Callithrix jacchus: one gene and its partner. The main gene of each other region encodes a partner of the protein of the gene in region 2 in a complex. Links are inferred from orthologs where the notes say so. Each region holds a gene or a part of one and is shown on either strand. Other genes may lie near its edges.

Region 1 (4,328 bases), on a different chromosome or scaffold from region 2:
AATATTTTAAATGGATACAGACATTAAATGCTGAGGTAGGAGAATTTATCCTAACAGTTTACAGTCACTTGCACATAAACCCTACTTACTCATTGTCACAGGAAAACTGTGTTTGCTTTAAAAAATTAAATGAAGTTTGCACGCAGCCTAAATGCCCAGCAGAAGAGGAATTGGTTAAATAAAATACCAAGGTCATTCATATATTAATACAATTCTTACTATGCAGTCCTGGGAAGAATGGGCTAGTCTATATATGGTGTTGAGGTATCATGTTTAAGAGATATTCTGATGGAAAAGAACAAGATGAACTAAAATACATCAAATACATTTTATTATGCAAAATAAGAAATATTTGTATTGGCAAATTTACTTCTGGAAGGATTATTCTCGAGAAATAAAGCAATTGCTTTTGCGGTAGGGAGAAGGTGTCTTTCTCCTATTTTTAACTCTTTGTTCACTGTTAACTTTACTGTTTGTTTGGTTTTGTGTTTACGGCATGCTTGCTGGCCCTTTGCATGTCCTCAGTTACTGGAAGACGGTTTGGCTGCGGCCTCACACAGGCACTTGAGTCATAGAAGAGGCATGCTCCAACCTCTCACCCGCACTGAGGGGCCTTTTCCTAAGCATTGCAGAGGGGTTCATTTGTTCCCACCGCAAGTGCGTAGAATGCCTTGTACTTCCCACCCCTTTGCTCTCCAGGGAGCTCTGCAAGTCCCCAGAAATACTTGCCTAACTACAGGCACCCTTGGAAAGGTCCAGCTGCTGACTGCAAGCACCATGTGACTCCCAGTGCCAGTGACATCTGGAGGAATTGAGCAATGGCTGAGGTGGAATTTCATTTGATACTTAATGGAATCCTCTGCTTCTGCCAGAGGTGGTGAATTCTATATAAAGCTGCCAAACCTGGCCGTGTCTCCTCACTGAGCCTTGACCCCTTCCATCCAAGGTCAAGGTAAACGAATTGCTGTGCATGACTCACGCATAGTAACTGTGGCTTTGGGACTTAGTCCACCTGAGCAGAGCAAGCCTGCCTGGAGGAAGTGGGTCCTCTCCACTCTAACCTCTGGATCTAATGAGCAGCTACATAAACTGAGACAGGATATAGACACATCCTGCCTGAGTTAGCAGCAAGAAATAGCTGCCTCCCCCCACCCCCCTGCAGTTCCCACACAGCAGGGATCCTGCCATAAATCAATCGGAAGTCTAATGTGTAATAGCACGCCAGCAAGGGCTGCACCGCTGTATGTCTCCCAAGGTAAGTGTTGAAGGTCAGAAACCTGAGTCCTGGAGAACTGCTTGTGGGGCTAGGCTTGGCTGGGCACGGGGCGGGGGTCTAGCAAACCCATCCTCTTCAGACATGGGGATGTCTTTCAGTCTCACCTCCTCAGTGCCTAAATTGGAATAAGGACAGTGGCTTCTGTCCCTTTAACCCAGGCCCCGCCATATACACACACACAAATACATGCTCAAGTTAGACACATACGCAAACACACTAAAGCATGTGAACTCTGGAAACCACGTACAATTATATGAAGATGCCCGGCCTGGATCCAGCACTTAGGGTGTGTCCGTCTCTGTGTGGAGCCATTTATACACACTTCTTACTGCTAAGATGAGGACTCTCCTGGTATTATTCCTAATTTGCAGATGAGTAATCTGGAGCTAAGAGAGACTGCCTTGCTAAGAGGCAGTGCAGATGATCCCAGTGCACACTCAGGGGCCTTACTCCCAAGCACCTTTGATGTTCCTCACTCCCAGGCTGGCCCAAGCAGAACCATGGGCACACGCAGTGCTGCGTACACAAGTAGACTGAAGCCACGTTTATCCATGCCAAGCTCCGGCAGGGTGAGGGATGAGGCCTCACAGCCCTCTGGATTTCAAAGACTTCTAAGAGAGTTGGTGTCTCCAATACCCATATCGTTATCATGTTAGTAAGGTAACGTTATCACATGATAGGCTCAGGATAGCTCCTCTCTGACAGACTCTCAGGATCGGACGCCAGGATGAGGGATAACAGGGGCATGCATTCGGCTTTTTGGTTAAATAAAATGGTAGTTTTTATTGCAAAAGCCCAGTGGCAGAGGAAAAGGGCAGAGAGAGGCCCAGCAATGTTTCCAAGCACCTATAAAAACTTTCATCGCATTGGATTTCCCGTCAGCAAGAAAACGTGACGGTTTAAAAGAGAAAGAAAACAAGCAGCGAGGAATTACAAATCCCCAAAGGATTCAGGCCCGCGACTCTCCCGCGTTTGTGTGCCCCTGCGGCGCCCAGCGGAGCCAGCACGTCCCTGGGCAAGGCTGGAGTTGCCTGAAATTCACCCGGGCCCGCCCGCCAGCCTCAGGCTGGGCAGAAGCACAGACACAACTTGTGGACTCTTTCCTAACTGTTCTTTAGGGGGACGATTCTGGCCCTTGACACTTCACATGCCACGCACAAAGAAACACAAAGCCGGCGACGCGCCCTGGGCGAGCGGGCTGGAGGCCTCTCCAGCTCCGGGCGCGTGGACGCTGCGCGACGGTGTCCGGGACGCGGGACAGGGACAAGGCGCAGCCCAGGCGCCGGGAACAGGGGGCTGGAGTCGGGGATCTGAGCCCCGCGGGCGCCTCCTCCGCCGAGAGGCCGGGCACGGATCGGGACACCCGGGCGTACGTGGCAGCGGCTTGGCCCCCGGCTGCTTGCTGCGGGCCGCGGCCTCCCGCGGGCCCCCAGGACCCCTCCCCACGGCGGGTACTCACCGAGGTCGAGGGGCGGCGCCGTGCGGTTGGGGCTGCTCATGGCCCACGGTCCTGGGCGTCAGACCGGGCAGACGCAGCGGAGACCCGCCGGGCCGGGCCGAGGGAGGGTCGCGCTCCCGGGCTCCTGACCCTCAGCGACTAGAGGAAGCGGCCACTTGGGTCACACGCCTCCCGCGAGGGCTGAGGGGAGGGGCTCTGGCCCGGAGATAGGCAGACTTCATTTATTTTTTTTCTGCAGACTTGGCTGGTGGGGTTTCCACCCTTTTTTTTTTTTTTAAACACACACCCGCCCACTTCTGAACTCTTCTGTACTCCAACTTTCCTGCGCAAGAACCACGCTTTTCTAACCGTTTCTCTTTCCATCTGCCACTACCGGATACAGAGGTTGTGGTTGAGAAGTCCCCCTGGAGTGCAAGGAAAACTCCCTGATGTGAAATGATGGCCTGGCCCAACACTGTCGGGGATGGTGACCAAATAGGGCAGAACTGTGTTGAAATCTTGGCTGGCTGCGCCGCCGCTGGATAGCTGGGTGGCCTCTCTGAGCCTGCCGCGGGGCATTTGTCCCTGGGGAGAGTCCCTGTCTTGTTGGCCTTTGCGAGCCCTGTACCCATGGATGGCCTGTTTAGCAAAGATTATTCCAAAACAGGAAGAATTGCTGGGCAAGTGTCAGGTGATTTGTTCCCATTGCCTTTGTCTGAAGCTGCCAGAAGTAGTGGAGTTTGTGAATTTGTTCTACTTTTGACATGAAAACCTCCACATGGATTTCCATACATACCTTGGTTCGTTAAATGCAAGTCAACTGTCACCACCTACAAAAAATGTATCATAGCATTATCTGCCCATTTTGCCCAGGAATTTGAGGCCCTTGTTTTAAAACCCCGCCCAGGGGAACACCCTGTACTTCTCCTGTGTGACGTCTGAACCGTCCTGTGCTGCTTTTCATTGTTTACTTCATAGTTTCCCAAGCACTTCTGTGACTCCCTCCTCTCCTCTACCTTCTGCCATTAAGGCCTGTCCTGCACAATCTAGAGAGCCAGGCCAGCTGTCTGTACAATGTGTGAGCAGTGCCTTTGGGGCTGTGCTCTGTGTTGAATACGATGAGAGGCTGACCCCTAGAGATGTGCAGCGCAGAAGCTTTGCTCCCCTCTACGTGGGCTGCACAAGCTCCAGGCCTTCTTGCTGCAGTGGGAAAGCACTCACAATTCTCTTCTGTTAGGTCGTGAAGAACCCCCACTGCTTACAGATCTTTAGTCAAACTGCCATGTGCAGCACGGGCATGCTGATCTGAAGTAAACTACTCACAGAATGCCTTCGGCCTGGTGGGGAAGCCCTGAATCTTGATTTCCTCATGCATAAAATGGAGGCAAGATCACCTGCATGCCAGGGTTTTACAGAGGCAGTGATGGTAGAATCCCAGTGGGAACAGAAAAGGCATTTAATAAACTAACGAGCAACGATGACTTTAACAGTTTCATTTTTTTTTTTTGGTAATAGATACAATAATGTCTAGGTGGGACAATAGTCCTCCTCCCCTTCCTTCTAACTTTCCAATTGCATTTCACATAATTAAAGTTGTGAAATGTTATTTTCACA
Region 2 (3,703 bases):
TTAGAATCACAATGTGATACCACCATCAGAACGGCCAAAGTGCAAAAACACAAAAACTAAAAAACAAATCAGAACAGTCATACTGTGTAGTTGGGGATGTAACGTGGTTCAGCTACTTTGGAATACTATTTGGTAATATCACCTAAAGATGAAGACATACATATCGTACAGCCGGGCAATTGTACTCTCGAAAGAAAAGCATAGATGTATGCACCAAACACATGAAGAAAAATCATATGATTTTTTCCATTTTTCTATTAATGTGGTGAATTTATTGGCCTTCAGGCAGTAAATCTTCACCTATTGCTCAACTAGACCCTGTTTGGTTAATGGCAGCACTACGTAAGACCAAAAAAGCTGACAGAATAAATTGTAGCATGCTCATACAATGAATGAATGAGAATGAAGCAATATCGATGATTCCCATAAACATAATCCTGAGTGAATAAAATGAGACACCAAAGAATTCATACAGTATAATTCAATGTTAATACATTTCAAACAGGGGCAAAAGTCATTCTTGCCATTAGAAGTCAGGGTTACGGTGGGCCTTCAGGAGACATGCATGGGGGTTCTGTCTCTGGATCTGCCTGCTGGTTGCATGGGTGTACTCAGTTTGTGAAAATTCATCCAGTTTTATAATTGTGATTTATGCCCTTTGTTGAATATATGCCCACATATGCCAAAACTTCAATTTGTTGACTTAAGAAAATTATACACTTGCCATGGCCCTGTTCAATCTATTCCTCTACTGGCTGATGAGCTGTGTGTGAACTGGGAACCATTTCTCTTTATATCATGGTACACCCTCAGCAAATTCTGAATAAGTGCTTTATTTACTTTGCTGCTGTCAATCATGGTGCTTTATTGTTACTATTTTAAAAATTATTTGCCAATTTGCTTGGTGAAAATTGGTGTCTCATGCATATTTTAATTTGCATTTCTCTGATGATGGGTAAAATAAAATAGTTTTTCATATGCTCAATGCTCATTTGTAGTTTTCTTCCTGCGAATGAGCTCTTCATTCCCTTTACCCCTTTTCCTCCTGGAGCTGTATTGATTCCTTACCATCTGTAGAATAAGATTACTCTCTTCCTTCCTATCTGATCACTAGCAGCAAAGACTCATTCATTCTCTACTACTGTCTTCACTGTGTTCTCCCTTGAGGAAAGGGGAATGAGCTCCTGTATTAATACCAGGCAGGGTATAATGGAACCCTGAGCCAAGCAGCTACTCACTTGTGACATATTTAAAACTTAAAAGTTAGACTTGCATCCCTTATAATCAAATCTTAAAGAATACAAGACAACATGGCCCAACTTCTGCCATCATGACAACAGAGAAAATGGTGCCACCCACCTGTAGTGCAGGAAGACGGCTTTGCTGGTTGGGAATTACTTTTAATGAGATCATTCCTTTGGTTTCTTTCTATGAAAAAAGTCATAAAATTGTACAGAAAACTAAGTTTAATAATTTGAGGTTTCATAAAGTAATTTCCCTCCTCGAAGTCCCAGGATTTTTTCCCCAACAACCATCTTTACATTTTGAGATTTTGTAGGACAATTCCTCCTTTAATACAAAAGTGTCATGTGCCCCATAGACCAGCATAACATCATGAAGACATACAAAGAGTAACAAAGAAAAGCTAAGTAAGACTTTTCTGAGCTGAGCGTGGTGGCTCACGCCTATTGTAATCCCAGTTCTTTTGGGGGCTGAGGTGGGCGGATCACCTGAGGTCAGGGTGAAACACGTCTCTACTAAAAATACAAAAATTAGCCAGGTGTGATGGTGGGTACCTGTAATCCTAGCTAAATTGGGAGGTTGAGGCAGGACAATCACTTGAATCCAGGAGACAGAGGTTGCAGTGAGCTGAGATCGCATCATTGCACTCCAGCCTGGGTGACAGAGCAAGACTCCTTCTCAAAAAAAAAAGACTTTTCCTCCCCACTCTTGACTCCAAAAAGTCTCCAAGAAGTTACTAAAAATGAACTGTGGCGCATATACATCCACGCCTTTCCCCATACCAATAAAAGCATCACAAATATTTATATACATTATACATACATATACATATGTTTTTTAAACAAAAATCGGATTCTACTATATGCTTTACTTTATTTAGCATTAGTTCATGGAATATCGGACTGATGCTCCAGGTTACTTATTCTGCTTTAGAAGTTTACTAAATAAAGGCAGAAAATTATCATTCTTACACAGAATAAAGGCGAGAGGGGAAAAGAGTGCCCTCAATAAGGTACAAATACTTTGGATCAACACTCATGAAGACAATGGAAGGTCTTCATCTCGCATAGAGAATACCCACCATCGCCTTCTGCAGCTGATCCACTGAATGATTAGTCACGTTCGTGCCATTGATTTCTAGGATCTCATCCCCCACATGAAGGGAGCCTGCCATGAAATGAAAAATCAGTCCACAAAAGCACAAACGTTTTCAAACAGGAGCTGTCAATGCAACTTAAGATACTATAGAAGAGAAAGCAGGATTTAGAGCATGTTGTAAAACATCGTGTAAAATCCTCAGGACTGAAAACTTTCCACCAGGAGAGATGGGAATGCCCTTTTGAATACCCCAGGGGCTGCTGCATCAAGGCAAGCACTCATCCTCCTTGGCCTCAAATTCCTGGAACTACTGTGGCTACTGACTGCAGACTATGACACAGACATATATACTACAGAGAATAACAAAGTACTCAGTCACCAGCAAGCTCCATGTTTCTTTGTTGTTTAGCTCAAACCCCAGAATGCTACCAAATGGTATTGCTGTACTTTCCAAGTCTAATGGAAAGGGTGGCATGTGGCAATTGCTCAAGTATTAACTTACTAGAAAAATATTGGTGTAAATAGGTGTGAAAGAAGACTCAGATATCGAGAGAGATGGTGGCACTGGGTAATTCACACAGAGATCTTACCATGCAGTGATTCCACAGAGCCAGTTATTGAGCTACCAGTCTGGAGGATTGTAAACTTCATGCCCCACACCACTGAACACGGAGTAAATGATTAATCCCTGAATAATCCCCCCAGAGCTCCCACAGAGTACCTTGTCTATGGATCATGCCGCCGTGAAGAATTCTGGCCACTGTACAGGACTGTTTTTCATTCAGCTTTAGAGTGATTCCCTGAAATAAAGGCAATGGCACAATAAGCTTTATTTTAAGCCCTTTCTGAGGTTATTTTAGAAGGAACTTATGGCAATTTCTCAGGAAAAGTATTTTCCATTTATACCCAGGATAGTCCTCAACTAGAACAGGGACTTGAGATGGGGATGAAGAGACAGTACTGGAGTTGGCCAATTCCATAACTCCATGGGCAGCCTTCTGCATTGACTCTTCTGGCCCAGGGACTCACAAGGCAGAGAATAAGTCGTGACGACAATATGATGAGTGATTACCATGGGCTCTTCTGTGACCTTCTCAAACTGTATGAGTCGCACTTTCCGCACCTCCTGCCCCTTGACCTGGGCAGGGCTACCCGGGACAGGAGACCCGTTGGTGTACATGTCCTCGGTCACAGTATTCAATGGATGTGAGACAGCCTGTAAAATCAAAACAACAGAGCAATGTATGAAATCAGGAGTGAGGCCCACAGTCAGTGCATTATCTGCAATTCTAACATTCAAGATGCTTTGAAAACTTATTTTCATAAGTTAGGCCTCATTCTCATTTGAATTGACATGAAGCTG

What was found. Proteins that work in one complex are often made in the same cells at the same time.
Region 1: the proteins of MPP1 (region 2) and GYPC are in contact, whole or in part, in an NMR structure (PDB 2EJY), measured with the Homo sapiens proteins. The link is inferred for Callithrix jacchus from reciprocal best matches to the Homo sapiens genes MPP1 and GYPC. Residues at the interface, in NP_002427.1 of Homo sapiens: Pro81, Met82, Gly83, Ile84, Leu86, Lys87, Leu88, Leu100, Val130, Gln134; in NP_002092.1 of Homo sapiens: Arg123, Lys124, Glu125, Tyr126, Ile128.

Annotation. Positions count from the first base shown.
Region 1 is NC_133507.1:111,487,810-111,492,137, reverse strand, and holds the start of GYPC (glycophorin-C), read right to left. Parts: upstream 2,918-4,328; 5' UTR 2,776-2,917; coding exon 2,736-2,775; intron 1-2,735. UniProt on the Homo sapiens protein: This protein is a minor sialoglycoprotein in human erythrocyte membranes. The blood group Gerbich antigens and receptors for Plasmodium falciparum merozoites are most likely located within the extracellular domain.
Region 2 is NC_133524.1:150,532,465-150,536,167, forward strand, and holds part of MPP1 (55 kDa erythrocyte membrane protein), read right to left. Parts: intron 3,557-3,703; coding exon 3,413-3,556; intron 3,141-3,412; coding exon 3,062-3,140; intron 2,410-3,061; coding exon 2,324-2,409; intron 1,429-2,323; coding exon 1,360-1,428; intron 1-1,359. UniProt on the Homo sapiens protein: Essential regulator of neutrophil polarity. Regulates neutrophil polarization by regulating AKT1 phosphorylation through a mechanism that is independent of PIK3CG activity.